Linked DNA regions of Tamandua tetradactyla. The protein of the gene in region 4 purifies or fractionates together with the protein of the main gene of each other region. This does not show direct contact. Links are inferred from orthologs where the notes say so. Each region holds a gene or a part of one and is shown on either strand. Other genes may lie near its edges.

Region 1 (7,039 bases), on a different chromosome or scaffold from region 4:
GAATTCTATGATTTTTACACTAAGAAAACTGAGGTCCAGATAAGTGTTTTGTCCAAGCCCACAAACCTGGTTTGTGACAGTCAAGACTAAAACTCCATGAGTGATCTTCCCACTATAATAAAAGCCCTCATTGCCATATAGTTGGCTACCCAGGAAGCTCTTGCTGAAACACATCAGTCTACCCTCCACGCAAACACTAAACCTTGTCAACTTCTATAGCATATCATAGCTTAAACAGCATCCGCATGTAGGTAACATACTCTTTCATTTCAACAAACACGTATATTTTGTATCATACTAGCAACCTGTTTTCTGCATACATTGTGCTCCTTGAACATATAATATTTCCATGTACATTTCCTCAGGAGGATATTTCTTTGTGTAACCACCCTATGAACAGTTAATCAAGTTCGAGAAATTTAACACTGATATAAAATCTATATTCCAAGTTTTCAGATGTTCCAATAATGTCCTTCGAATCTTTTCTCCTGCATAATTAGATCCTGACCAGGATCACATACTGCATTTAATTGTCACTGTCTCTTTAGTTGCCCTTTTACATTTATATACATACACACACACACACACACTGTATGTCAGGCAATAGATGTACCTAAATGTATATTAGGGTTTTGGCCTCTGGTCATCTTACACAAACTTAACACATGTGACAAGCTCTATACTAGCCGTGTGAACTATATGTTTTGAAAGTATACAGGAGTGAATATTTCAGCCTGGGTAAATTAGACACAACAGTTAAGCAGAGCTTGAGAACTGTGGGTGTGAGTGAAATGCTTCACTTGAGACAAAGCAAAGACAGAAATATGACAGTACTTACAAAGCAGGGATGTTAAAATAAAAGATGACACTAAATAGGGGTCAGAAGACCTGAGTTCAAATGTTAAGCTCTGACTCTTGTGACTTTGAAATAAACAACTCTGAGTCTCAGTGTAATCTGTGAAATGTGGATAACACTGTTCACCTGCCTACCTCACAGGACTTTTGTCAGGGCCAAATTATATGAAAATACTTAAAAATTGCAGTCCTAAAAGGGCAACTAAAGAGACAATGACAATTAAATGCAGTATGTGATCCTGGTCAGGATCTAATAATGCAAAAGAAATGACTTGAAGAACATTATTGGAATATAGATTTTAGGTCAATGTTAAATTTCTCAAACTTGATTAACTGTTCATAGGGTGGTTACACAAAGGAATATCCCTCCTTCTTAGGAAATGTACATGGAAATATCATATGTTCAAGGAGCACAATGCATATAACATACATTGTGCAGAAAATAGACTGATATTATGATACAAACATGGCAAAATGTTAAAATTTGTGGATGTGGGTATGGGGGCGCATGGTGGAGTTCTCTGTATGGGGTTTGCAAGTTTGAAATTATTTCAAAATAAAAAGTCTAAAGGAAAAAAAACTGCAAAATCCTGTATAAACATATTTTTCACTCCTAGGGACTCCTATGAGTCCTTCTTAAACTGTGTTTCATAAAAACCTCACCGTTTGAGGTGAAAACACACCTATAACATCATTTTTATGCTCCACAGAAGAAAATAGTTAATGTAAATAACTTCAGGTTGAAAACCCAACCCTTTTTATTGAAATACATACATATAAATACGGGCGTATATATGTGTTTTAACAATGTTTACTATATATTTAGAAACTATTACCAGATGTAGGTTTTCTTCTGAAAATTTTCTATCAGAATTTTCATTCCATTTTATAATACATTGTCAAGCAATCAACTCAAGAATAATGCGCAAGTAACAATCATTTTGTTCTCATCCCAAAAGAAAGACCAGCTATATTCGCTACAGATGCAATCGAATAGATGCCGTGTACTCTAAAAAAAGGAACTGTTTTAGTGTAAGAATGCATACGAATGTAACCAGTTAGTAGATAAATATTATAAAACGCGGGAAAGTAGAATGAGTTTTTTTACTTTAAAATACTTAAGAGGTACTACTTTTAAATTAAAGAATACCCTCATCTCCTTTAAAATCTGGATAGAGTAGACTGTATAACCTTGACTATTTAACCACTATTTAAAGGCCCCATTTTGTTCAACATAAAACCCTACTGTCTTAGCCATTCCTTGGATAATAATCTAAATAAAGTTTCAGTGTGTGCTTACAAAGTTAAAAAAAAAAAAAAAAAGACAGGAAAGGGACAAGGGGAGCGAGAAGCGCTCGTGCCACTCCCGTAGTGGCTGTTTTATCTAAGAAGTGCAACTTCCCGTTTTCTCCTTCTTACCTTGTACACTTTCCCGAAGGCTCCGTCGCCCAACTCCCCTATAATTTCCCAAAACTCCTCGGGGTTCAGGTCCCTCTTCACATGTTCGTACTGCTTCTTCTTCCTCTCGCTCCCCAACTTGAAGATCTTACGGAAATTGAAGAAGGACATTTTTCCTTCCAACAGAGTTCCTTGCACTTAAGGACTAAAAACAACAATGAAAGGCAAAGTTTCTCCTCCCTCCTCTCTCGCGCGAGTCTAGCGGCAGCGGCCGCGGCGACGGCAACGAACACAAAATCTCCCGGCTCCCGCCGCTCGGCTCCGGGGGAAGGCGGGGCAGCGACGCGAGCTCCGGCGCAGGGGAAGGGGGAGGGGGTAGGAGGAGAGGACGGTCCCTCCCGCAGCCGGGTCCGCGGGGGCAGCCCGACTGGGCTCCTCACCCCCGAACTGTCCACTGGGGCGGCACCTGCCCCGACGCTCGTCTCTACCCGGCCCAGCCCGACCGGGACTGGGGTCCAAGCCGTTGGGACGTCTGCGGCCGCCGCGACTTAGGCCCGTGTCACGGCGAGTCTCCAGGGGCGGCGGCCACTCTTGGCGACTGTAAAGGCCCGCGGCCTCTGAGATGGGCAGCCGAGAAGGCGAGCTCTCCCGCTCAGGCCGCGAGCTGGAGGTCGCCGCGGCCGCCTGCTCCCGCGTCACCTCTTCTCTGGGGCGCAGCCGCCCAGCTCCCTACCCAGCCTACACAGCCTCGGCCTGGAGCGCGCGCCGCCGATTCCGCCGACGTGCGCCGGCCCGCGCGCCCGCATGCCCGCGTGCGGGCGGCCCCTCTGGCCCCGCGCACGCGCGTTCGGCACTGCGCACTAGCTGCTCTGAGCCGCTGGACTGCGCCGGCCGCAGGCGAGGTGTGGACCGTCCTTGCGCGGGGTCACCATTTGCCCTCCAAACCCCAGATCCTGTCAGCCCCCCCGCTTTGGTGGCGTTACCCCTGTGGCCAGGACCCTGTTGGTTGTGCCAGCAGTCGTTACCTGAATTCTGGATCTGGGAAAATTTGAGATTAAATCTGTTTTTGTGTATATGTTGTTTTCCACAAAAAAAGTCGATTGTGGTGATATATATGTATATTTATTCTTTCTAGCCTCCTATATTCTGGAGCAGCTAGAAGGAAAAAACTGAGAGGATGGTATGATAGCCCATGACAAACTCTGGGATCTACCCTGTAACTACTTGTTGAAGAGGGCTCTGAAAATTACTGCCTTTTTCTTTCTTTGCTTTGTATATATGTTATATCATACACTGAAAAACGCTAAAAAAAAAAAAAAAAAAAAGTTAAAGCTGAGTAGTCAGGGTTGCTGAGAGTGGACTATTTCTCAAGAGGATCCGAGCTGCAGTGAGAGGAGTACTGTGATGGTTGGGAGCTTCGGCCTTGGAGCCAGAGCTTCTCAGCTCTGTGACCTCAGGCGGGAACCTCTCCGAGCCTTAATTTCCATACCCTACGGAGGGCTTATGGCGAGGAGTAAAGGTCTGTAAGTCATTTGTAGGGCGGCTGCACCGTAAACCCTCAGTCTTAGTCCTTGCTGTTGTTAGAACTGTGCAGGTAAGACTGATATAGATAGAGAAAAATTGTTCAAACCACTTCATGAGTAATGACCGGGACATTCCCTTGTGGGTAACGTACCTCCTCCTGGTCACTTCCACAGCCGTATTCCTGGTGTCGCCCTTCAAGGCTACCTGAACTACTTAGTAAGGCGGTAGCTTCCTAGGCCTGCCTCCGGCCCCTGAGGACCAAGCTAGTGGTCAAGGGACTGCTGTGGGGCGATGTGAGCAGGAGTTGGCTGGAATCTGTCAGATGATGATCTTCCTCGCCCGCCTCCACCAGCTGGGAGCTTTTAAGGCAGTAGCTTGTTGTTCATAGTGGTTTCCAACCTGACAACATTCCTGGCATGTAGAAGGAAGGCAGAGCTGTTGAATTAATTAATTAATTAATGGAGGTATCTGGGGCAGAGGGAATGTTGCTATTAGTATAATGCCTACCTACAGTTCCCAACCACCATGTCCCCCTCCAGCCCCAAAACGGTATATACTGAAGCCCTTCTTTCAGTAGGAGGGTTATGATGACTTGGTTTCTCAAGCTCTCATTTTTTAATAGCTTTATTGAGGTGTAACTGATACACAATAAACTGTACATATTTAAAGTATGCAATTTATACGTTTTGACAAATGTATTACCCATGAAAACAATACCATAGTCTCTAGTTTTAATTACTAACATTTATGGACGTGTGACTAAATGTAAATAGGTGCTCATTGTGGAAAATACGGAAATACACAAAGAACGAAATTAAAAAGAAAACCCTGGAATTCCATCATCCGTAGATAACCATTGGTAAGATTTTATTATATTACAAACAGATTTTGGGGGAGGTGGGTGGACTGTACATTAATTTTTTTACCTGCATGAGATTAAAGGTTTGTATCCTGAACTTTTAGTGTTCACTTCCATCATGAGATTTTTAGATTATTTATAATTGTTCTGTTTTAAATGAAACAGTGATAAACATCTTGGAATACAAACCTTTTTTTCCCCACATACTTAATTATTTCCTGTGGATAAAGTATCAGTAGATTAGGGTCAATTTCCTTTTTTTTTCTCTGTCTTTTCAAAACAAAACTCTTCACTGTGTTTTTCAGATTATCATTATTGTAAATAATTCAAATAATTCAGGAATGATAAACTAGAAAGTTGTCTGGTAATTCTCCCTTCCTGCCAGCTCCACGCCCCCCCACCAACTCCACCTCCACCCTAACCATTGTTAAAAGTTAAGCCTATGGGTGTGAGGGAACTTTTTGAGGTAATGAGAAGTTCCAAAACTGGATTGTAGTGATGGTTGCACAACTCTATAAATTTACTAAATCCATTTAATTATATACTTAGAACAAGTGAATTTTATGGTAACTAACCTCAGTAAATAAATATAACTAGATTTTTTTCTACACATACACTTGCTTTAAAATATGAAAATGGTACCTACTTTTCTATAAAACTTTTTTTCCACTTTCAATGAATAATGGACTTCTTTCTTTCCATGCCAGTACAAATAGACAAACAGGTCTACTTAACTCTTTTTAATAGCTGGATAGTGTTCCAGTGTAGCTTTACCATAATTTATTTAAGCATTTCTCTGTTGATAGGCATTTAGATTATTTCCAGTTTCTTGCCATCATAAACAACACTGCAATGAGCAGGCATACACAGGCATCTTTGTGTATTTGTCTGATTGTATTTCCTTATGACAAATTTCAAGAAATGGAATTGCTGCGTCAAAGAGTATATTCAATTTTTTTTAACCTGTATTGCCAAATCAGCCCCCAGGAAGTTTGCACCAATATAAACTCTTTCCAACAAGGTATGAGAATGCCAGTTTCACCACATCCTCAATAACACCATCTTTTTAATCTTTTCCAAGCTGATGGCCCAAGATGGGCATTTTAATTTAAAATTCTGATTAGTGATATAACACCTTTTCATATGTATATTGGCCACTTTTATTTCTTTTTTTAAAATGAATCATCTCATCATATCAATGTTCTATAAATGAGGTAATAAAAGTCTAACATACTGTTGTGAAGTAACCATGGACCTGATAAAAACATTTTTTTTTTCACCCTGAAGTCACAGAAATCTTTTCATAATGCTGGATGAGTTGACATTTGGACAGATTCAGGTTTTCTCAGTAATTATCATGAAATCTAGATATCTGTGTTATTTGTAAATCATAGTTTGGCTTCTCTGAATTTTTAGACTTTTAAGGTAAAGTTTAACCAGTGACCATGTAAATATTTAACACACAATTTTTTGGCTCTACTTACCTTAAAAATAATTTAAGGCCTCACTAAACAGCTTGTGAGGGGGAGTACTAGCTTTACAGTTTACCTGGAGTGTAACCGTCCTTGATAATAATAAGAATATCATTAAAAATTAAAATTTTATTATGTCTTGAGTGCTTACTCCATGTCAGGCACTGTACAAAGTGGTTTATAGGCATCATCTCATTTAAACGTCCTATCAACCCTATGCAAAGTACTATTATAATCCCCATGGTTAAAGAGAGGAAAATAAGGCCAAGAGTTAAATAACTTGGCCATGGCCCCATAGATAATAACAGCTAATTGGGACTTGAATCTTGGTAAACCTAATTCCTTAGGATTTAATAACTCTACTAATTCCTTAACCTCACAGACTTCTATAAATGGATAGCTCACAGGATTGTTGCCACTGCTGTATCTCTCCTCTTTGCAACTTAAAAATGTACTCTACACACTGTCATCACTTTATTAGCTCACAACCATGTATGTGTATGTGGGTATAAATATGCGTGTATTAGCATTTATGTATGTGTGTGATTGTGTGTGTATCAGTGTGCATGTGGGGAATGGGAGCGTGTATATGTGTGTATGAAGCTGTCTGTATGTTTCTCTCTCTAGACTGAGAGCACTTTGAGGGCAAGCAGGGATTCTTTTTTCAGTTTTCAAAGCACTCTTCAACAAGTAATTACAGGACAGATCCCAGACTCTGTCATGGGCTACCATTTGATCCTCTCAGATTTTCCCTTCTAGCTGCTCCAGAATATAGGAGGCTAGAAGGCATAAATATTTTTTCACCATCGCCTTTTTCATTTTTATATTCCCTACATCTAGCCCAATGCTTTGCTACTCTTTAATTTTTTGTTGAATGAATAAATAAAAATGAAAGAACTTTATACCCAAGGAAAGTACATTACATGTCAGT
Region 2 (6,891 bases), on a different chromosome or scaffold from region 4:
AAGTGGGCAAAGAACTTGAATGGCCATTTCTCCATAGAAAATATACAAGTGACCAATAAGTCAATGAAAAGATCCTCAACATCATCAGCTATTAGAGAAACGAGAAATCAGAACCACAGTGAGATACCTCCTCACATCCCCTAGGATGGTTATTATTTCTTTTTTATTATTTTTGTTTTTGTTTTCTTTTTTCTATTGTTTATTTTTAGGATGGCTATTATTTTTAAAATGCAAAGTAACAAGTGCTGGCAAGGATGTAAAGAAACTGGAATACTTGCACATTGCTGGTGAGAATGTGAAAAGTTTCTGCCGCTTTGGAAAAGTGTGGCAGTTTCTCAAAAGTTTAAACATAAAACTACCATATGTCCTGGCAATCCCACTTCTGTGTGTATACCCAAAGGAACTAAAAGTAGGGAGTCAAGCAAATAATTTTATACCAACGTCCATAGCAGCATTATTCACAACACCCAAAAGATGGAAACAACCCGTGTCATCAACAGATCAATGACCAAAATGCAGTATATCCATACAATGGAATATTATTCAGAAAAAAAATATGAAGCTCCAATATACACTACAATACCGATGAACCTTGAAAATATCATTCCAAGTGAAAAATGCCAGGCACAAAAGGACAAATATTGCAGGATTCGACTTCTATAAAGTACCTAGAATAAACAAACTCAGAGACAGAAAGTAGATTAGAGGTTTCCAGGAGTCAAGGGGAGGGGCTGAGGGGAAGCTCTTAATCGGTATAGAGTTTCTGTTTGGAGTGGTACAAATCTTGGTAATGGACAGTGATAGAGGTAGCAAACTGTGAATGTAATTAATGCCACTGAATGATATACCTGAAAATAATTAAAATGCAAAATGTTACTTTATGAATGTCACCACAATTAAAAAAAAAAAAAAGCCATAGGAAGGAGTCATCCAAGGGTGTAAATGTAGGTGGAGAAGTAGACAAAAGACCTGGGGCCATTTGCCAACAAAGGAGACTGAGATGATGTGACCTGCAGGGTAAGAGGAAAAGAAGGGTGCGTGGAGTCTTAGATATTTTAGAAGGGGTGTGTGGGGTCTTACAAGTCTTAGAACACAGCCTTCTATTTCTGTAATAAGCCTAGCCTACTTCTGCCTTAAGGTCTTTGCACTTACTTGCTCCTCCCACAGACCCTAGCAGGTGCCTCATTACTGAGGCCTCAGCTGAAATGTCACCTCCTCAGAGAGGCCTTTCCTGATCACCCGATTTAATGTTGCCTCCCCCACCCTCGTCTCATTACCTTGATTCATTCCCTTCATAACACTTATCACTATCTGAGATTTTCTGATACATTTAGCTGTGGACTTACATGTGATTTCCCTTCTAGGAGGGGCCTTGACTGACTCAGTCACTGTCTCTCCTGTTTATAATGGGGCCTGGTATGTAATAAGTATTCAATACATTTGTTAAATGATGGATAAATATGCCTCAATACATTAATTTACATAGGTTGCTATTATTTCCATAGGATCCTATAGGTACACAGTAAATTAGACAGCAGAAAAGTTTAACATGGTATCATTAACAAAATTGGGCTAAGAAGAACTTTGTAGGGTTCCTAAGATACTTTACAATCTCACCCAATTTTTCACTTTTCAAGTCTGGTAAAAGACGTGATAGTGTTTTCACAGGCTTGTGGTTCTTGTTAATGACCAAGGCAAGGAAACAAATCACAGTTCTTCCAATTTAGCAATGGAGTCAAACAACACACACTATTGCTCTCCAATTTCCTCTTAATGCAATTTTATTGAGATATATTCATACACCATACACTCCTTCCAGAGCATACAATCAATGAATCAATGGCTCACAGTATCATTTTAGAACATTTTCATTGCTCCAAAAAAAAAAAGAAAAGAAAACACAAAACGTCTTATACCCTTTATCCCCCATCATTGACCCATAGCATCGGTGTGGTACATTTGTTACTATTCATGAACGAATATTAAGTGCTGTTAACTATAGTCTATAATTTACAATACTGCATTTTCCCCATATACCCCTCTATTATTTTGTTCTTCTGTTGTGAAATATAACATATATACAAAAAAGCAATAAATTTCAAAGCATAACACAACAATTAGTTATAGAACAGATTTCAGGGTTTGGTATGGGTTACAGTTCCACTGCAGGTTTTTCCTTCTAACTACTCCAAGACACTGGAGACTGAAAGAAATATCAATATAATGATTCAGCGGTCATACTCGTTTCTTAAATCCTAACTTCTCTACTATAACTCCACCTTCTCCTTTGATCTTTCTCCAAATTTTTAGGGGTATCTAGGCTATTACCATTTTAACTTTTTCATGTTGGAAAGGGCTATTGATAATATTGGATAGGTGTATGGAACTAGTTAATGTTCTGAAGACACTGGCCCCTCTGGGTTTCAGGACTTATCTGGCCTAGGAACCATCTAGAGGTTGTAGGTTTCTGGAAAGTAATCACAGTGCATGGAATCTTTGTAGACTCTCAGATACAGCCCTAGGTATTCTTTAGGATTGGCAGGAATGTTTTTGATTGGGGTTTGACAAACCATGGTAAATAGCAGTATCTAGCTGAAGCTTACCTAAGAGTAGCCTCCAGAATAGCCTCTGGACTGTATTCCATCTCTCTCAGCCACTGATACCTCATTTCGTTACACTTCTTTCCCCCATTTTGGCCAGGGTGGCATTGTCAATCTCAGGGTGCCAGGGCCAGGCTCATCCCTGGGAGTCATCTTACACATTGCCAAGCAGACTTTTGCCCCTGGATGTCATGTCCCATATAGTGGGAAGGTTATCTCCAATTTCCTTTTGAGAGAAAACATTTCAAATAAACTATTACAAGATTTAAGAGTGATTAGCTGATTCATATCTTTGCAAGATCAGATGTAAAAGAGGGCCCAACCTAGAACCAGAATGTGACAGGTGCAGGTGCTTTGGATGGGAAGGAATGACCAGTAAGGATAAATGGCAGAATGCTCGACAGAAATTTTAAGTACGGCGATCCCAGATAGGTCAGCGTAACTATAGCGCAGGGAGCTCAACCGTGACAAGAAACGAGGGAGAAGGGCCCTATGTTTAGATGAAATGGTGAATGTGTACTCAAGTGAGTACACATTGAGTGTGTACTCAAGTGGGGAATGTGTACTCAAGTGAGTTCACTGAAATCGTGGACCTTAAGCAGAGGCCATCGAGAACCATCTAGCATTACAAAGCAGGCTGGAGATGATTATCACCCAGGCTTCTGACCCTCCTCCACCTATTTCTGGCGGGGGGGGGGGGGGCAGCGGAGGGGGGTGAAGCGCGGAAGGAAAATGCCAGCTCACTCTGGCCTTGAGGAGAAGGCTCAGGCATTTCTTCCCTCCTCTTCGAATCCCTGAGCCTTTTCCGAATTGAAATCAGGAAACCAAACGGTGCTTGGGCCGGGGTTTGCCCATCCTCAGGCCTCCCAAGGTGGCTGCACCTCCGGCCTAGCTCGGACGCGGGTCAGGATCTACCAAAGGGCAGTGTGGGGAGCCGAAGACGGCGAGCGGTCCACCGGCACAGGGAGCGGAGGCTGGGCAGAGCCTGGGCCGCACGTCGCGGCCAAGGGAGAGGAAGAAGCCGCCGCCCCAGCAGAGGGAGCGTGGAAGCCCGCAGAAGGCGACTAGCGCGGGTCTCCTCCAAGGTTTCCTCCGGCTCGCTCACAGCGCCTCGGCCCCGCCCGGCCCCGCCCCAGCCGCCCAGGCCACCGCCTCCTCCCTAGCCGACGCAAGGGGGAACCTGCTCCAGCGCCTTTAAGAGGCGTGTTCACGTGCTCCGCCCCATCTGCCCCTCGCGCGCCAGTCAGTGGTGGGGTGCGGGAGGAGGTGCTTGGGGGAGGGGAGGATGGGGGCGGGCGGCGCTGCGCAGGCGCAGTGGCCAGGCGACGGAGCGTGAGTTTCCAAAATGGCGGCAGCGATGGACGTGGATACCCCGAGCGGCACTAACAGCGGCGCGGGCAAGAAACGCTTTGAAGTGAAAAAGGTTGGGTCTCGCCAGCTGCTTCCTCAAGGAAGCTAGACAGGCGCGGACTTGGCTGGCAGGCCCGAGGGTGACCGAGGCGCGAAGAAAAGGGCTTCATTTCAGGGCGTTCCTGGGACCGGGTACCCCCGAAAGGAAGCCGGAGGGTGGGTCTTAGGGTTGATCGGCGTGTCTGCGACCCACTGTCAGTGAAACTATTGGTTTCGCTCTTAGGCTGAGGGTCCAATCACTGAGGTGTTTATTGAACTACTCCGGCTTGCGACTTGGTCGCGGGAGCCAAGCGCCTGAGCTGTCACTGGAGTGGTTGAGGGGTGGGGGAAGTAGAGAGTGGGGTGGGTGGATGGGGGAGTCGGAGCTACTGCAGTGAGTGGAGGATGGGACAGTGCGGCGAAAGCCGAGAACCTGAGGTCCTACCGCAATGGAGGTTTCTGTAGAGCTGGGCTTACGATCTCCTTACCCCGCCCCTTTTTGAAGCTTTGCGGTCCCACTGACTGAGGGATCCCGACGTTGTCCTCGCCTAAGCAAGGCCTCTCTGCCCCATCTCTGGCCTTCACCCCCACCAAGTTAGAGTCTCATTTCTTATGCTTGGCTCTTTTGATTTGTTACGCATCCGTCTCAGTCTTGTGGTTCTCCGTCATGTCCAGAAGCCACCCCCTATTCCCCCCAAAAGCATATGAAGCCCAAACCTCGTAGCGTTTAGGAAGGGTTGAGTACGAGTTGCGAATGGCCTGTTAGAAGTGGGAAAGCAAAAATGTTGAACGTGTCTTTGCATGAAATCCCTTTTAGTGGTTTGCCAACAGCTTGGGAGAAAAGTGTGGATTTCCACCTAAGATGAAATAAATCTATTCAAAATGAGGATTTTCAAATAAGGAAGCTGTTATTCCTGGAATATCTGGCTAAACACTAAAAATATTCTCCTAGTGCTTTTTTGCGTCTCGTTATGGGCACTTCATGCCCAGTTACAGCCAGCAGCCATATTGAAGATAGTAGTAGACTTTTTTCCTCCAAATTGAAGCTGTGGGGTAAAAAGTGCTGAAGAAGTTGCTAGACACTGAGATTTGGCTTGCAGGAGATGAGGGGGTGGGAGTGGTGCCAAATTAGTGGATGAAAAAGGCCTTGGGAGTATTTATAGTTGCAGAAGCAGAGGTTGAAATACTTAGATACTGGGTTTAGATAAATTCTTAGTGGAATTATCTCAGTCATATGTAGAAGTGGGCATATAAAACTTGAGAACATTTGTTTGAGAGTAGGAACTAAAAGTTCAGTGAATTCTAGAGTTTGTTATGGAGCGATGCTGTAAGAAATAAGTGGTAACATTGTTCTGTGTACTAATACTGTTGGTATTTACCCACTTCAATCCAAGATTACCCATTTTATGCTCCGGTCATCATCTTAGTTCATTCTCTTCCTAGCTTTCACCTCCCCACTCATGCTTCCAAAGCTGCCTTTAAGAGCAGAATTTATCTATGCAGACTGATCTCTTGTGCATCTGCCTGGGGAACCTGCACAGTGATGCAAGTTTGTGCTTATTAAGACTAAAACAAGCCCTTAAAAATTATTCCTGATTGCTGACATTGAAGTGGCTGACTAAATATTTTTAGGTCTGGGAAAAAATTAAATTAAAAGATGATACATTAATTTCATGTGCTTAACATTTTGGAGAATGGACGAGATTGTATGTAGCCTATTGTTGTCCTCTGGTGTAATAAGAGTAGTGTAATATCCAGAAACTCTTGTTTGGTGGTCCATGTGGCCAAAGAAGATGTTAACTCCAGCTGCAGTACGAAATTCTAATGTGTGTGTAATATGTTACAAGGGAAGTGCATTGTTCCCCCTTTTCTCTCTTTGCAGTGGAATGCGGTAGCCCTCTGGGCCTGGGACATTGTGGTTGATAACTGTGCCATCTGCAGGAACCACATTATGGATCTTTGTAAGTAATTGGAGGAGCATGGGAGCAAGTTGAGAAGGTTGCAAGGATTGTTGCTATCCTGATGTGATCAGTTTTCTTCTTCAGGAAAGATATAAAACATAGTGCTTGGGGTCTTCTGCACCTGGTCTCTTGGTGTGTTTGAAACAGAATAGTTTTTGGATTGTCTTGAAGACATACCCAGTTCTTAAAATAAATCAACTTGCTCTAAAGAGAGCAAGGCCACGTTTAGAATGAATTGTGGACACAGGGGCACTGTAGATTCTTTCTCTTTATATTTCCTATCTCCTACCCAGACTCAAAGGCAGAAGTAGTAAAAGGAAGAAAATAAACTTTGAACTAAAATATTCTGTCCAAGCTAGTTTTTGCTGGGTGAGATGTGTAAAGAAAAGAAGCTGAAGAAGTAAGGATTTGCAACTTTAGCCCCATACCTAGTAAAAAAGACATCACTACCAACATCTAAATAGGCAATTAAATTCACTAAAGAAATTTGATTTAAATCTCTATATATTTATTACATAAGGTGATCAAAACATAGTGAATCTGATTGTAGCTGTTAACTGACTAATTTAGTATCCTTGTAGTAATGGGAGGGAGAAGATTGATTACACTGAAACAATTGAGGTTACTTTTTCATCCACATACTAAATTGGTTTGCTAATGAAATCAGAAATCAGGCAAAGAAACTTCAAGGTTCTAGAATTGAAATTGTGTTTTGTTTTGTTTTGGCATAGGCAGGGTCGGGGAATTGAAACCAGGTCTCCCACATGGCAGGCAAGAAAAGGGTACTTACTTTTGAGATGGTTCACCTGCCTCTTCAGCCTCACCTTGAGCCACTCTGCTACTCACTGTAATAGTTCTCTTGTCTTTCCATTCCTGAAGTCTCCATGCTCTTTATTAGTGTCCTTGCATAGCATCTTCCTTCTGTCTGGAATATTCTCTCC
Region 3 (8,020 bases), on a different chromosome or scaffold from region 4:
TAGGACGCTGCTTTGGATGACTCTTTGGAGTACTAAAATCTGTGCTGAGTGTGTGTGGAACCCAAAACTATGACATTTATTTAGACACTGTGCTGGTTAAAACAATACTTCCTGCTCACTACCAATAGATGCCGGCACATCTACAGGAATTATAATTAGAAATAATGAGAGCGATTTCTTGAGTTATTCCCCTTTAAATTATGTTTCATTGACAGACTATACTTAGGATATAATAATTATTATCCCATCCTGGTCATGGGAGACCTTAGGAAACCTCTGTGCCATTTTTGCATATGAAAAAAAACAGTGAAGATGTAAGAAGTCATTTTCTAATTTAAAAACCACTTTATCCAAGCAGACGTTGTAAAACTATTCATTTTATTCATTCATTCCATCAACTGAGAATCGCCCTAGTGTACAAATACAGTATTGTACAAAATTCACAAAATGTTACAAATTAAAAAAGTACAAACTGCATTACTTAATAAATATGACTAAAAGTAGCTAAAGTGGAAATGAGATAGATTTTAGGTTGGGAACATTGTTTGACCCAGCAAACCATACAAGCTCTGTTTACAGACATTTTTACATAATACAAGGCAATTCTATTTTGCCTTTCAAGAGAATTTATAAGGACTAGAATAGTCAGACAGTTTTCTCCTGCTGTAAAATAACTGCCAAAGCTGGATGGAGGCATTTATGCTGTTAGTTTTTAAATCTTAGTGAATCCAAGAAGATACATAAAGCAGGAGACTGCCACAAAGTTCTGTGCCATGTTAAAATCATTTTATAATAAAGTGACAGAAATAAAAACAAATGAGAGCACCAGACAACCCACTCCACACATCAACCAGAACACAGATTGCCACTCTGCTGTCAGCAAAAATTAGACTTTCAGTCAAGTAAGAGCTGGTACTACCCCTTAAAGAATAAAAAATAAAAACAAAAACAAAATTCTCCCACAACCTTCACTTAAGAATTTAGCTTTGAAGTAAAGGACTGACCTTTTCTAGAAAAATAAAAACTCCCCAAACAACAAATTTGTTTGTTGAATCCAAACGGAATGGGCCCATCATCTGTGAATACATCAATACATCCACGTGAGATAATTAAGAATTGTAAAACTCAAATTCCAACCCCACAAAATAACTATTAAATCACAATCTCTGTTCTAAATGATAAACTAGTTCAAATTTATAAAGCACTTCTCTGGATTTATGCCTGGAAGCTGTCGGCCAAAATGGAACTCATCATGAAGGAAGGTCCACGATTTTTAAAAACATTGTGCAAAAATACATTTTTATAGAAAACAGATGACCAGGAATGAACACATTTACACCGAGCGAAATGAGCTTGCAAATTAAGTGGCGATAACTTTATACAGCAAATGACAAACAGCAGAAGGATCACCCAAAGCTGTCGTGAAACATCGTTCAGGTGCTCAGCAACCTTCAGCTCTGGGGAAAACACATTCAAAAAACATGATTAAGGCATTACACCTATAGTAACTCTACTAGGAGGTTGAAAAGTGCTATTACCCTGATTTAGAGTTCATGTGATTCTCCAAACACAAGTTAAGGGTGCAGTTTTCCCAGGGTGTCGGTTTCCAGACGTCTCAGGAGCAGGCGTTCTGTTCAATGTACATTTTGGACAGGGATATGGCCATGGACTTGGCCAGTTCTTCGTCGCGTTTCCTTTGCACCTGAGTCTGTTTGCACCAACTGTCATACTCGGGATTGGGAAAGGACTGGTCGAACACCGCATCGTAGTGTCCGTTGCTGAGCCAGCTGAGCCAAATGCTGGGTCTTCGGGCATCTTCCGGGCCCAGGTAGTGCGTCATGGTGGCCACCGTGGGGCTCTCCGGCTTCCCTCCCGTCGTGAGATGGATGTTCACGTTCAACATCTGCCCCATGGCCAGCAGTTCGGGGTACCCGGCCCACGCCCCGTCCTGGGCGGCGGCGACGATGAACTCGCCCACGTCGCCCTCGATCAGCGGCCCGAAGTGGTCGAGGTGGTCGGCGATGTGGTGCACCGTCTGCTCCCGCAGCTCGCGGTGCAGGCTCTGGTCCCCCGACACGGCCTTGCTGACGGCGCGGTACAGGCAGTTGCCGTCGGGGATGATGTGAAAGCGGTACTTGTTCCTCTGCCGCAGGTACTTGTCCTGTTTCTCCACCTCGGCCAGGTACAGGGCCAGCTTCTCGTCCCTGGGGTCCGCCCTGGGGACAACCCCCGCCTCGGCCGCGCCGCCCCGGGCAGCGGGGCCGCCGGTCGCGGGGGGCGCGTCCGGGCGGGCCGCGGGCTCAGGGTGGGGGGCCGGGCGCGCCTCCACCGTGCCGGGGGCGACTCCGCGGTCCGCGCCCCTTTCCCGCCCGCGGGCGCCGCTCTCGACCGGGCGCGCCTCACCCCATGGGCCGGGGCCGGGCTCAGGGCTGCCGGTGGGCCCCCGGCGCTGGGCGGCGGCCAGGGCCTGGCGGTGCTCGCGCAGGCGGAGGTCGGCGGCGGGCGGCGGACGAGCTGGGCCGTCGGGCCGCAGCAGCCCGTCCAGCAGCCAGGCCGGGGCGGGTGCGGCACGGCGCGGCGGGCCGGGAGGCGCGGGCCCGCGCAGCAGGAGCGCTTCGGCGCCCAGGGCCCGCACGGCCGCCTGGGGCGGCGGGCGGAGGGGGGCGCCGGGAGCCGGGGCGGGCGCGGGGGCGCCCTCGAAGCAGGCGGCGAAGGCGGGCATCGCGGCAGCGGCGGCGGCGGCGGGCTCTCGGGGCGCGGCGGGCGGTTGCTCCCGGGGCTCGGGCTCCGGCTGGGGCGCGCCACTGGCCGGCGGTGGCAGCGGGACCTTGAAGGCGGCGGCGGGGGCGGCGGGCCGCGGGGCCCCGGCCGGGAAGTGCGCGCAGACGCTGCTGTAGAGCTGCATGGCGCCGCCGCCGCCCTTATAGCGCGGGGCGCGGACACACCCTCCGGCCCGCAGCCCGGCGCTCCCGGAATAGAGATGACCCAAGCCCGCGCGTCACTGCCGAAGAGCGCGGCCGCCAAGTGCCCGCTGCGCCAAGGCGGGGGGAGCCTCGGCCGCGGACCCGGGCGCCGCGCCCGCCCTCTCGGGCCTCTCAGGTGCGGGGAGGCCGCGCGCGCCGCTGCGTCGGCCGCGGGGAGGGGAGCCGGGGGCGGGCCGGCGCGCTTGTTTACCTCAGGCCGCGCGGCCAGTCACGTGGGGCGCCGGCGGATGCGCTCGGCGCGCGCCCGTTCACCCGCGCGCCCCGCCCCCTCCGGGCCCGCCCCCGCACGTCCCGGACGCCGCCTCGGGCTCTGGCCCTGCCCCCCGCCCGGGCCCCGCCGCCGCAGCCCGCGCCCCGCCTCCCCAGCCCCGCCCTCGTAGTGCCCGGGCAGGTCCCGGGCGGGGCTGCGGCGCGCAAGGCGGGACCTGGCAGCGGGTCGCGGGAGGGGCGGGAAGGTTGGCTCTCCGTGGGGGCTCCTGGGTGCGCCCCCTTCCCCCCTTCGGCCCCGGGCACCAGCGCAGGGAACGGGCGGCGCGGCGTCTGGGCTGGCCGAGCGCTCCGGAAGTCTGCCTGCGGCAGGAAGCTTCGCGCTCGGCGCGCTGTGCTCTCTGCACGCTCAGCGCCTCGCGCCTGCTGCGCTTTTCCAGGCGTTCACTTTGATTCAGGCCCCTCGGCTAACGTGACACCCTGGAGACGACCCTGCCGGTCCCTAGAAAACGCCAGCCGCAACCTCCTCTCAGGCGGGTCAAGCGTAGGCGCCGCTTTGCACGGGAGGATGAGCTTGGCCGGCCTTTGGAATACCAAGTGCAGGCCCCTGGCCCCCTAAAATAGGTGCGGCCGCACCCGGGGCCCTAGGACGTGGAAATACTTGGACCGAGCTGAGCAGGCGCGCTCCGCGATGAAGGGGCCAGAATCCTAAAATTAGTCATCTACTGACCGAAAGCGGGTAGCTGTTGGCTAAACCTGGAGTATTGATCAAACGGCTAAAGTAGCAGGTCAGAGTCGCTCTTGTTGGCCCGGAGGTTTACCCAACATCTTAGAGATGGAAAAACCGAGCCTTTAGGTTAGGATGGAGGCCACCCCCGACCCTTCGCTGGGATAGAAATTCCATGAGTGGAAAATCTATTTCGCTATTGTATTGTCATCCCCTCATGCAGTGCCTGGCTCGTGTTTGGAGCTAACAAGTATGGGGTGAATGAAAGGGAAACGTGACTCCCAAGATTCCTGCTAGTGGAAAAGCCAGAACTATCATCCAGGTCGGGGCTTAGTTTGCAATGACAAATGCCACGCGCTGGCTGGTTTAAATAACAGGCCTTTATTGGCACCCAGCTGGAAGGCTAGAAGTTCAGCATGGAGCCCATGCAGGCGGTCGCTTCTCCTGGAGTCTGCTTCTGGTGCTGGCTGGCTGGCAGTCCTTGGGGTTTCTTGGCTGGTGGACTTGTCACGTGACCATCTCTCTCTCTTCTGGCTTCTCATCACTAACTGCATTTCCTCTGCGTGTAAGGACGGCAGACATAGTGGGTGAAGGCCTACTCTCTGCAATTTGTCTTCACCCAAATGGGATCTTTGAAGATCCTGCTCACAAATGAATTCGCACCCACAGGACGGGGGTGTGGGGGGTGAGACTTGAACATGGCCTCGTGGGGAACACGATTCAGTCTGTCACAGGGTCGCCTAATCCTAGCCCTGCTTTAGTTTGCCATGGGAGGCACGACTGTCCAGCGGAGGCCACTCCAGCCTCCACTGAGTCAACTTCGGAGAAGGCAAAGCACCGGCCTAACCATCTTGTACACTTGTGGTCACTCCCCCATTGGACAGTTGGCATTAGGTGCTTCAAACGGACATCCACTCGTAGCCTCTCAGTACCTGGTGTTCTGAAACAGAAGACAATAAATACTACTAACGCTAAGATAATCCTGACATAATATTTACCAAGTACCTGTTGTGTGCGCAGCACAGTGAGTGTAACAGGAGCTGGGAGGGAGAGAAGGAAAATATTAAAATGTAAATCCTCAAAGCAAGAATGTGTTTTAACAGATTGGAGTAAACACAGGAAAATAGGTGGGGGGGGGGGGGTGAGGATGGGAGAAACTAGGTATACAGAAGACAAGCTAAGTCTAATGCACCAAATTTGGAACAGATATAAAGAAAATTATGAAAATCCAAAGCTTTCATGTACGTGAAGCCATGTTTTTCCTTTTAGTATGTGTGGGGAAGGTGGGTTGCACAAGGTGACACATTCATGTGGGAATCACCATCCACCCCATCTCTAAATCTGGAAGGTCTTCCTGGAGGAGGCAACAGATGAGGAAACTTTCAAAGTAATGCTGATTGCCAACCTTGAACATAGGATGCTGTTTTATGCCCTTAAAGGCTAAGAGAAGGCAAAATCTTGTAAGCAATAAAGAGATTAGGAGGGGAGAGAGAGGAGGACACATTTGATTATTTGAGCAATCTCCTCTTTACCCCATTTGAAAACAATTACTAGTAATTCTGTTCTGGAAAATCATCTCTCCAGCTTATTTCAGTATTGTGCAAAAAAAATGGTGGATTGTTAGGAAAATAGGATTCTAAACCAAAATTGCCTAGTTTTCAAATAGATTTAAGGAAAAAAGAAACGTCAGCAACTATCAACCAAACAGGAACAACTAAAGAACCAATAAAATTAAAGCAAACCAAAACAAAGCACAAGATATTAATCAGTAGGTATTATGGAGCCCACTCTGTGCTCCCAGCCTGGTGCCAGTCCCAGGGGATTCAGCTACAGTGTCTGGCATGTATCCAGGCACCAGAAACCCAGTCCCCACATGCATTTTCATATCCTACCTGACATGTTTTTGAAGATACCTACACCTAAATATCACCATCTCTTGGTTATATTCCTTTAAAAATAATAGAATTCCCAAGCCATTCCCCTCTCCCCAAAATAATTCAAACTTTTTAAAAACTTAAAGATGCATCCGTTTATTAATTTATTAGATAGTCATTTCTTTGTAAGCCTACTATGAAAATCTTGAGAAAAGAAGAACAAGGTTAAAGTTCTCACACTTCCCAGTTTCAGAACTTATTACAAAGCTACAGTAATCAAGACTGTGGTACCAGCATACAGATGAATGGAATAGAATTGAGAGTCCAGAAATGAATCCATACATTATGGACAATTGATTTTCAGCAAAGTTGCCAAGAAAATAAAATAGGGAAAGATTGGTGTTTTCCAAGCTACAGCACAATTCGTGCTCTTGATAATCTTTTGGTAATTATTTATATAAAAAATAATTGAACATTATATTCAAACATTTATTGAGCGCTAATATATATAGAGGGTATATATTAAGTATGTTGGAGTATGTCCCAACTTAACCATACATAGAACCAGCTCAACTTAAGGATGATATATATACAAGATATCATATATATATATATATATATATATATATATATATAGGGTTGTATATACTTTGTTCGCTGGCAAAAAGAGATTCTGCCACACATATCAGGCTGTCAATAAATATTTTCTGAATGTTGTCAAATAAAAATGGAATTTAGGCAGTAAAGGCAAGCATCTTGAGAACTGATGTGCGGGTTGTTAAATATGCATTCTCAATGTTCTGTTAACTTTACGATTTAAAACGAACAAATAACGGGTATCATGACATGCAAACCCTCAATATTCTTTCTTCAGTTCATCTACCACTAAAGACAGGTCACTGGCTGCAAGTGGAATTTCCAGGCAGGAGTGATAGGTGCTTTGAATTATTAACCTTTACGGTTCTTACTGTGGTTTGAAGCTGTATGTATCCCAGAAAAATATGTTCTTAAATCTCATCTGTTCCTGTGGGTGTGAACCCATTGTAAGTGAGACCGTGGATGAAGCTACTTCAGTTATAGTGTGACACACTTCAATCAGGTTGCATCTTAGTCATATTACTAGAGTCCTTGATAAGCAGAATGAAATTCAGAGAGAGTGAAAGCAAGAAGCAGAAAGCAATGAAACCTAGAAGAGAAGGGAGAGACCAGCAGACTCCACCATGTTCCTCACCACCGTGTGACAGAGAAGCCAAGAATTGCCGGCAGCCAGTCTCAGGGAAGAAAGCCTCACCTTGATGATGCCTTCCTTTAGACATTTTCCAGGCCTCAAAACCACGAGCAAATAAATTCCCTTTGTTTGTCCACATCCATTTCGTGGTATTTGCCTTAAGCAGGCTAGGAAAGTAAAACAGCTCTCCTGAATCTTGTGTAACTTTAACAAGATGGTGGTTAAAATAAAATGCTAGATGAATTATTGCTTATAGGAGTTTATTTTGAGCAATTTAAGATTCATGAATCAGGCAGTATCCAGACCACATTGTGGCAAGGCACTCCCATGGCAGTGGAAGGGGGAAGCTTATGTAGGGCAAGTCTAGAAGCAAGTGAAGAAATTATCTAATTGGTGGATTGTTTCCATTTTACATAGCGGGGGGCACTTAAAAAGTGGGAAGCAGATATACATTGTTGTGGTATTCTTATCTATTCTGATAAACTATTTCTACTGGACCAAAACTGGCTAATCACCAGATACTAGTTATCTACAGTTCTGTAAATTACATTCCATTGTTCCATTTTCTGGGAACGCTCCCATAGGTCAATTGTTTTTGTTTTCTGGACAATCCTTTCTGGGAAACGGGGTCCCACTGGGCAATGCCTAAAGCAGTTGGCCATTTAACTTATGGTAAAAAAGAGAATCATTGAAAATCTTCTTTAACTAAAGATCTTACAATGCCAGGAAGTTTAAGTCAATCTGTGATAGCTAGATCAAATATTCTAATAATCAGCAGATTTTTGCTTATTCTAGGGGGAAAAGCAGTATAAAAAATGGAGAAAGGCTAAAAGGTTATTGACTCTGGAGTTTGGGCAGATCCTTTCCATGAATAGGCCGAAAGGCTATCTTGGGTGGAACTGCTACAACAGCAATTTTCATCTTAGGGATTCAACGGACAATGGAGGGAAAGGAAGGAAAGTCAGGCTTATTTTCATGGGGAGGTGTAACTGATGTAATT
Region 4 (7,700 bases):
AAATTCACCCCCCGGAGGCTCGCGGAATCCTTATTTAGACCTGCCTCTCTCTTCAGCCCAGCCTTTCCCAAACTTCCCTCACTTCTATGAAATGTTTCCACTCAGATGGACTGCCTTAAAAAGAAACTTAGAAATATTTATTTAAAAATTAACTTCACAGCCTAACTGGCATAAATGGCAAATCAGTATCCCTCGTGCTGGAAAACACAACAATCGTTTATATCTATTGGGTGCCAGGATAATCTAGCAGGGAGGTTATTAAGCATGGGGTCGTTTCACACGTGTTAGCCAGTTGCAGAGCTGGGATTCCAACCCGAGACAGACGAGGTCCATGCATTTTTTAAAAATTTGTTTATTTACTTCGAGAAGTTGTAGATTTACAGAAAAATCATGCAGAAAGCACAGCGTTCCTATATAACCCCCACCTCACACATACAGCTTTCCCTATTTTTTTTTCTTGTTTTTGTTTTTGATCTTATCCTTTTTTTTTTTTTAACAGCTTTTCCTGTTATCAACACTTCTCCTTAGTATGGTGAGAGAATACCATTATAATTATACTATTAACTAGAGTCTCTAGTTTACCATAGGGGTCACTGGTTGTGGTGTTCAGTCCCATGGTTCTTTGTTAAAATTGTTTATTCTGCTAACATAATATGCAACCCCAATTGTCCCCTTTCAACCACATGCAAATATTTAACTCAGTGGTGTCAGTTACTTTGACAAAGTGCTGCCATCACCACCACCCCTTACCAGAACTTCTCCACTGCCCCAAGCAGAGACTTTGTACCAATGAAACTCTAACTTTCTATTCCCCACCTCCAACCTGGTTCCTGGTACTCTTTTTCCAGTCTCTGACTCTACACATTTGCTTATTCTAGCTATTTCATATCAGTGAGATCATACAATCTTTGTCCTTTTGTCTTCTGGCTTGTTTCACTCCACATGATGTCTTCAGGGTTCACACATGTTGTCCCAAGTATCAGAACTGCATTCCTGTTTACGGCTGAATAATATTCCATTGTGTGTATATGCCACATTTAGTTTATCCATTCATCGGCTGATGGACACTTGGGTTGCTTCCATCTTTCGGACTTTGCAGATAATGCAGCTATGAACATCAATATGCAATTATGTTTGAGTCCCTTCTTTCATTTATTTTGGGTTTACACTTAGAAGTGGTATTGCCAGGTCATGCAGTAATTCTGTACATAATTTTCTAAGGAACCGCCAAACTATTTTCCACAGTGGCTGCACCACTTTACATTCCTACCAACAATGCAAAAAGGTTCCTATTTCTCTGTGTCCTCACCAGCACTTTTTAGTTTCTGTTATTTTTTTTTCAATAGTTTCCATTCTATTGGGTGTGAAATGGTGCTTCATTATGTTTTTTGTTTGGTTTTTCATGGGCAGGCACCGGGAATTGAACCCGGGTCTCTGGCATGGCAGCGAGAACTCTGCCTGCTGAGCCACCGTGGCTCACCCTCATTATGGTTTTAATTTGCATTTCCCTAGTGACTAATGATGTTCAGCATCTTTTCAAATGTTTATTGAGCATCTGTATGTCTTCTTTGGTGAAATGTCTATTCAAGTCTTTTGCCCATTTCCCCCGAGGCTTTCTTCTAGGAGTCTTGTAGTTTGGGTTCTTATGTTTAGGTCTTTGATCCATTTTGAGTTAATTTTTGCATATTAACTTCATCCCTTTACACATTCCAGCACCGTTTGTTGAAGAGTCTCCTCTTTCCCCATTGAGTGGATTTGGCATTCGTGTCAAAAATAAATTGGCCAAAGATGAGAGGGTGTTTTTTTTTCTGAACTCTCACTTCTCTCCCACTGATACACATGTCTCTCTGTGCTAGTACCATACTGTTTTGATTACTGTAGGTTTCTAATATTTTTTAGTGCAGTTTTATTGCTATATTGACACACCATACGATCCATTCAAAGTATACAACTATTTACTGGCAATATCATCACATAGTTATGCATTCATCACCACAATTTTAGAGCATTTTCATTACTCAAAAAAAAAGAAAAAGAAAATAAAAAAGAAAACCCAAAACATCCCATATCCCTTATCCCTCCCTATTATTGGCCCCTAGTATTGGAGTCAATACATTTATTGCTGCTGATGAAAGAATATTAAGATATTCTGTTAATTCTAGTCCACAGTTTGCAGTAGCTACTTTCTTTCCCCCTGTGCCACTCTATTATTAACTCCTTATAACAGTGTCACTCATTTGACCTAGTTCATGAAAGAACTTTTCAATATTTGTATTGATAATCACAATCATCGTCTACCACAGACTCATTGTATTATGTATTCCCATATTTTAACCTTCAGCTTTCTTTCTGGTGAACGACATGACCCTAAACTTCCCCTTTTCACCGCATTCCCACACTACTCTGCACCGATAATTATATTTGCGATAACATGCTACCATCAACTCTACCCATTTCCAAACATTTAAGTCCACCCTAGTTAAATATTCTGCACATTTTAAGCAACTGCTCCCTATTCTTTAGCCTCATTCTATTTCCTGGTAACCTATAGTCTAGATTCTGTGCGTAATATGTTTTAAAATTAGAAAGTATGATCCCTTCAACTTTGTTTTTCTTTGCACGATGGTTTTGCCTGTTTGGGAATCCTTAACTTTTCCAAATAAATTTTATGATTGGCTTTTCTATGTGTTCAAAGAAGGCTGTTGGAATTTGAATTGGGATTGCATTGAATCTGTAAATCACTTTGGGGAGAATTGACGTAAGATATTTAGTCTTTCAACCCATGAACACAGAGTGTCCTTCCATTTACTTAGGTCTTCTTTGATTTCTTTTTAGCAATGTTTTGTAGTTTTCCATATTTAAGTCCTTCACTAGATATTTCTTTAAGTTGCTATTGTATGTGGATTTTTTGGGTTGATTTCCTGTTCTGATTGTTCATTACCAGTATATAGAAACAGTGCTGAATTTTGCATGTTCATCTTGTATTCACCAGTTGAATCTGTTTATTAATTTGAGTAGCTTTATTGTGGACTTTTCAGGATTTTCTATGTAGAGGACCATGTCATCTGCAAATAAGTAAAGTTTTTCTTCTTCCCTTCCAATTTGGGTGCCTTTTATTTCTTTTCCTTGCCTAATTCCCCTGCTAGAACTTCCAGCCCAATGTTGGATAACAGTGGTGACAGGTGTAGCCTTGTCTTATTTCAGATCTCAGAGGGAAAGCCTTCAGTCTTTCACCAATGAGTATAATTTTAGCTGTGAGCTTTTCATATATGTCCTTTACTGTGTTGAGAAAGTTTCCTTTGATTCCTAGTATTTTAAGTGTTCTTACCAAGAGGTGCTGGATTTTGTCAAATGCTTTTTCTATATCAGTTGAAATGATCATTTGTTTTCCCTCCCTTCACTCAATTGATGCAGTGCATTCTTCAATTGATTTTTCTTAATTCAACCCCTCCTTGCATACTTGGGATAAAGCCCACGTGGTCTTGGTGTATAATTCTTTTAATGTGCTGTGGAGTCTGGTTTGCTAGTATTTTGTTGAGCCTTTCTGTATCAATATTCACAAGGGATATTGCTCTGTAACTTTTTCTCTCTCTCCTTTTTTTTAAAACCTGGCTTTGGTATGAGGGTGATGTTGGCCTCATAGAATGGATTAGGAAGTGTTCCCCCATTCAAATTTTTTAAAACTTTTTTTTGTATGTGAAAAATAACATATATACAAAAAAAAGCAATAAATGTCAAAGCACTTTGCAACAATTAGTTGTCAAACTGATTCCAGAGTTTGGTGTATGGTTTACAATTCCACCATTTTAGGTTTTTACTTCTAGCTGCTCTAACATATTGGAGACTGAAAAAAAAATCAATATAATGATTCAGCAGTCATACTCATTTGTAAAACCGACTGTTTTTGTATAAACGCCACCATCACCTTTGATCTTTCTCACTCGTTAGGGGTATTTGGGCTATGCCCATTCTAACTTTTTCATGTTGGAAGGGGCTGTCAGTAATATGGGGTAGGGAGATGGAACTAGCTGACATTCTGGAGAGGCTGGGCCTCTAGGTTTCAGGACTTATCTGGTCCAGAGACCCATCTGGAGGTTGAAGGTTTCTGGAAAGTTACTCTAGTGCATGGAACCTTTGTGGAATCTTACATAATGCCCTAGGTATTCCTTAGAATTGGCAATAATGCTTTTGGTTGGCCCCCTATTTAATTTTTTTGGAAGAGTTTGAGCAGGGCTGGCTTACTTCTTGGACTGTTTGGTAAAATTCACTTGTGAAGCCACCTGGTCTGGGCTTTTCTTTTTGGGGAGGGTGTGGATGACTGAGTTGGTCTCTTTACTCGTTATTGGTGGGTTGAGATCGTCTATTTCTTTTCCAGTCAGTGTAAGTAGTTCGGTCCGCTCTCCCTGTAAGAAGAGGTAACTAAAGAAGAAAGCCAATGAAAACCCAACCGTGTAGCTAATTCTGAGCGGATCCTGTGGCCAAGGCCCCCAGCGGGCCTACAGGAAGAGCAGGTGGTGGAGGGAAGCCTCGCGCCCAGAGGCCCTTGCCACCAAACCGGGACGATGGAAGGGACAGCGCAAAGAGGACAGGTCCCCGCCGGCCCGGCGCCCTGCACCTGCGGGAAGGGCGGGGAATCGCGGCTCCGGCCCAGGCGCGCCCTCCCCACCCTCTCCCCGCCTCCTTCCCAGGCGTCCCGAGGCCGCCCGGGAGCCCAGGCCCCCCGACGGCGGAGGTGCCCGCGGGTCCCTGACGGCGGTTGACCGGGCCGGAGCCCCCATCGGGTCCCGGAAGCGCCGCGAGCGCGTGGCACCTGCGAACTCCGGCGCCGACGCGGGGCCCGAGGTGAGCGCGGCTGCGGGGAGGGCTGCCCACGGGGGTCCCCGGTGCGGGCAGGAGAGCGCCCGGGCTTCGAACCCCGGGGCTCCGGTTCCCGAGCGCCGGAGGCCCCTGGGCGCGCAGAAGGGGCGGGCGCTGGGGCTGCGCCCGGGCGACCGCGGCCGCGGCGGGGGGTGGAGGGGGGAAGACCGAGGGTGCGGAAGGCGGGTAGCGCGCCCTGTCCGCCCCCCTCCCGGGGCTGCCCGAGGCCCGGGCCGCGGGGACTTTTATTCTGACACGCGGGCGCCCGGCTCTGCTTAGTCATGGTGACCTGCGCGCGCGCCGCGATGGAGGCGCCGGGGCCCCGGCGGCGGAGGCGGAGCCCGAGCGCGACCATGGCGGGGTGAGTGAGGCGGCCTGTGCCGGGGCCCGCGAGCCCGGCGGCCGAGCCCGGAGGTCGGGGAGCCGGCCGCCGCGGGCCGGGCGCCTCCGGGGATCCCCGCGGCCCGGGGAAGGGCCGGGAGGGCGCGGCCCGGGTGCCATCCCCTAGTTGGACGGGGCGGCCCAGGAGGGACGTAGGCGGGGGGGCCCAGGCCACGTCGCTCGCACCGAGGCCCGGGGACCTCGGGGCGCTGCTGCTGCCGCTGCCGCCGCTGCTTCTGCTGCTGCTGGCGCCGGGGCGGGGGGCTCGGTCCGCTCCCTGGGGCTGGCGGCGGGGTCACTTCCTGCCTTCTCCAGGCCTTGGCGGCGGCTCAGGCGGGGCATGCGCAGTGCCCACTTGTCGCTTCTTGGGGGCCACGGGAGCGGGGTTGCGGGGAGTTGAGCAGGAGGCGAAGAGGCAGGTCCTGGGCCTCGGCCTCAGCCGGTGGTGCCCGGGTGGAGGAGAGCCTCGGGCCGGGGCGAGGGGAGTGGGCAGCCTGCCAGCCGGCCACCCGCGTTTCCTGACCCCTGGGCAGTGCCAGACCCCAGGGGGAGGCACATGGGATGGGGTGGGGGACACAGCCTGTGACTTAACCAAGAGCTCCTGCTACAGAGATCCCTGGGGGACTGGTGGCCAGAGGGACACTTAATCCTGAAGCCAACTAGCAAAGGAGGTGCTTTCAGTTTCTGACAAGTGCAGTGATCAAAATGAAACCTCAGGAGAGGTGACTCTGAGCTGAGAAACTCTTAGGGATTGCACCCCTTTTCCTGGCCAGCAGTCCTCCCTCCAGGCTATATCTAACACTCCCATCCCTCATTGTCTACACTGCATGCAGCCCCACCTCCTCCTCCCTTGCTTCTGCTGGTCTGTTTCATTCTGCCTCTGAGCTTTTGCAGTCACTGTTCCCTCTGCCTGCAGCCCACTCCCCTTCCTGCCTTCACAGTTATTCCTACTTTACCTTTTCAGAGAAGCCTTTCCTGGAACCCCAGGTTTAAAGTAATCACCCCTCATCACTGTGTCATGAGGCCGTTTTAATGTTCTTCATAGCTTTGGGTTTTATGGTTCTTCCTCTCCGAATGTTAGCTCCATGAGAGTGCAGGGTTTTGTTTTTGTTTTGTTGGTCTCTCTTGTTCACTGATGTGTCCTCGGTGCCTAAAACACTGCCTGACATCCAGTAGGTGCTCAATAAATGTGTGACAGGTGAAGGAAGGAGAGAGCTTGGTGTGCTCGAGGCAGGGAAAGGCCACAGATGGCTGGGACAGAGGGGGCAAAGGGAAGAGGTGAGCAGGGGCTTTATGGGCAGGGCCTTGCAGGCCACTGAGGAGTTTGGTTTTATTCTGCACGCCACGGGGAGCTGTCGAATGATTCTGAGCAGGGGCTGTCGATGACCCGACCTGTGTTTTAAGACGGCCCTCCTGCTGGTGAGATTATAGAGAGCGGTTAGCAAGTGCAAATGGATGCTGCATCACCTGGTTTGCTGGGAAAGGAACCCATGCCGGGATCGCTTTAGCTTACGGAAGGAAGCCCCAGGCCCGTCCCCAACACAGTGCTCTCCCTCTCCAGGCCCCTGAGTGCCAGTGGCAGCGGTGTCCCTCGTTGCCCGGAGCTCCATGCAGCCAGAACCCGGGCCTAGCCGGGCGGGGGCCCACAGCCGATTCCTGCCCACGTGGTCACAGCGCCCCGAGGGGGCCGGGAGCGGGGTGATGTACGCCTTCACCGAGTGCAAGGCCGAAGTGACGCCCTCCCAGCACGGCAACCGCACCTTCAGCTACACCCTGGAGGACCACACCAAGCAGGCCTTCGGCATCATGAATGAGCTGCGGCTCAGCCAGCAGCTGTGCGACGTCACGCTGCAGGTCAAGTACAAGGACACGCCGGCCGCCCAGTTCATGGCCCACAAGGTGGTGCTGGCCTCGTCCAGCCCCGTCTTCAAGGCCATGTTCACCAACGGGCTGCGGGAGCAGGGCATGGAGGTGGTGTCCATCGAGGGCATCCACCCCAGCGTCATGGAGCGCCTCATCGAGTTCGCCTACACGGCGTCCATCTCCGTGGGCGAGAAGTGCGTGCTGCACGTCATGAACGGCGCTGTCATGTACCAGATTGACAGCGTCGTCCGCGCCTGCAGCGACTTCCTGGTGCAGCAGCTGGACCCCAGCAACGCCATCGGCATCGCCAACTTTGCCGAGCAGATGGGCTGTGCCGAGCTGCACCAGCGCGCCCGCGAGTACATCTACATGCACTTCGGGGAGGTGAGCACGGAGAAGCCGGGCCGTGCGGGCGCTCCGGGATGGCGGGCAGTTCCTCACGGGTCTGTGTCCCCGTCGTGTGTGCAGAGTCAGGCAGGTGGCTGCGGGGAGATGGGCTTCTGAGCTTCGGGGCCACACAGTAGGGAAAGGGCTGGGGAAAGTGAGGTTTTCATGGGTCTCTGGGGTCAAGCTGGGGACCGGGTAGGAAAGGCAGGACG

Evidence for each region.
Region 1: the proteins of KEAP1 (region 4) and SLK purify together in Homo sapiens (affinity purification with western blotting; 3 studies listed by BioGRID and IntAct, with this or other methods). This does not show direct contact. The link is inferred for Tamandua tetradactyla from reciprocal best matches to the Homo sapiens genes KEAP1 and SLK.
Region 2: the proteins of KEAP1 (region 4) and RBX1 purify together in Homo sapiens (affinity purification with western blotting; 6 studies listed by BioGRID). This does not show direct contact. The link is inferred for Tamandua tetradactyla from reciprocal best matches to the Homo sapiens genes KEAP1 and RBX1.
Region 3: the proteins of KEAP1 (region 4) and OTUD1 purify together in Homo sapiens (affinity purification with western blotting; 3 studies listed by BioGRID, with this or other methods). This does not show direct contact. The link is inferred for Tamandua tetradactyla from reciprocal best matches to the Homo sapiens genes KEAP1 and OTUD1.

Annotation. Positions count from the first base shown.
Region 1 is NC_135339.1:66,071,328-66,078,366, reverse strand, and holds the start of SLK (STE20-like serine/threonine-protein kinase), read right to left. Parts: upstream 3,014-7,039; 5' UTR 2,425-3,013; coding exon 2,275-2,424; intron 1-2,274. UniProt on the Homo sapiens protein: Mediates apoptosis and actin stress fiber dissolution.
Region 2 is NC_135333.1:34,060,707-34,067,597, forward strand, and holds the start of RBX1 (E3 ubiquitin-protein ligase RBX1), read left to right. Parts: upstream 1-3,889; 5' UTR 3,890-3,945; coding exon 3,946-4,023; intron 4,024-5,871; coding exon 5,872-5,950; intron 5,951-6,891. UniProt on the Homo sapiens protein: E3 ubiquitin ligase component of multiple cullin-RING-based E3 ubiquitin-protein ligase (CRLs) complexes which mediate the ubiquitination and subsequent proteasomal degradation of target proteins, including proteins involved in cell cycle progression, signal transduction, transcription and transcription-coupled nucleotide excision repair.
Region 3 is NC_135327.1:227,112,080-227,120,099, forward strand, and holds OTUD1 (OTU domain-containing protein 1), read right to left. Parts: upstream 3,019-8,020; 5' UTR 2,906-3,018; coding exon 1,616-2,905; 3' UTR 358-1,615; downstream 1-357. UniProt on the Homo sapiens protein: Deubiquitinating enzyme that specifically hydrolyzes 'Lys-63'-linked polyubiquitin to monoubiquitin.
Region 4 is NC_135337.1:91,324,032-91,331,731, forward strand, and holds the start of KEAP1 (kelch-like ECH-associated protein 1), read left to right. Parts: upstream 1-4,688; 5' UTR 4,689-4,842; intron 4,843-5,140; exon of another isoform or gene 5,141-5,218; intron 5,219-5,727; exon of another isoform or gene 5,728-6,657; intron 6,658-6,799; 5' UTR 6,800-6,846; coding exon 6,847-7,485; intron 7,486-7,700. UniProt on the Homo sapiens protein: Substrate-specific adapter of a BCR (BTB-CUL3-RBX1) E3 ubiquitin ligase complex that regulates the response to oxidative stress by targeting NFE2L2/NRF2 for ubiquitination.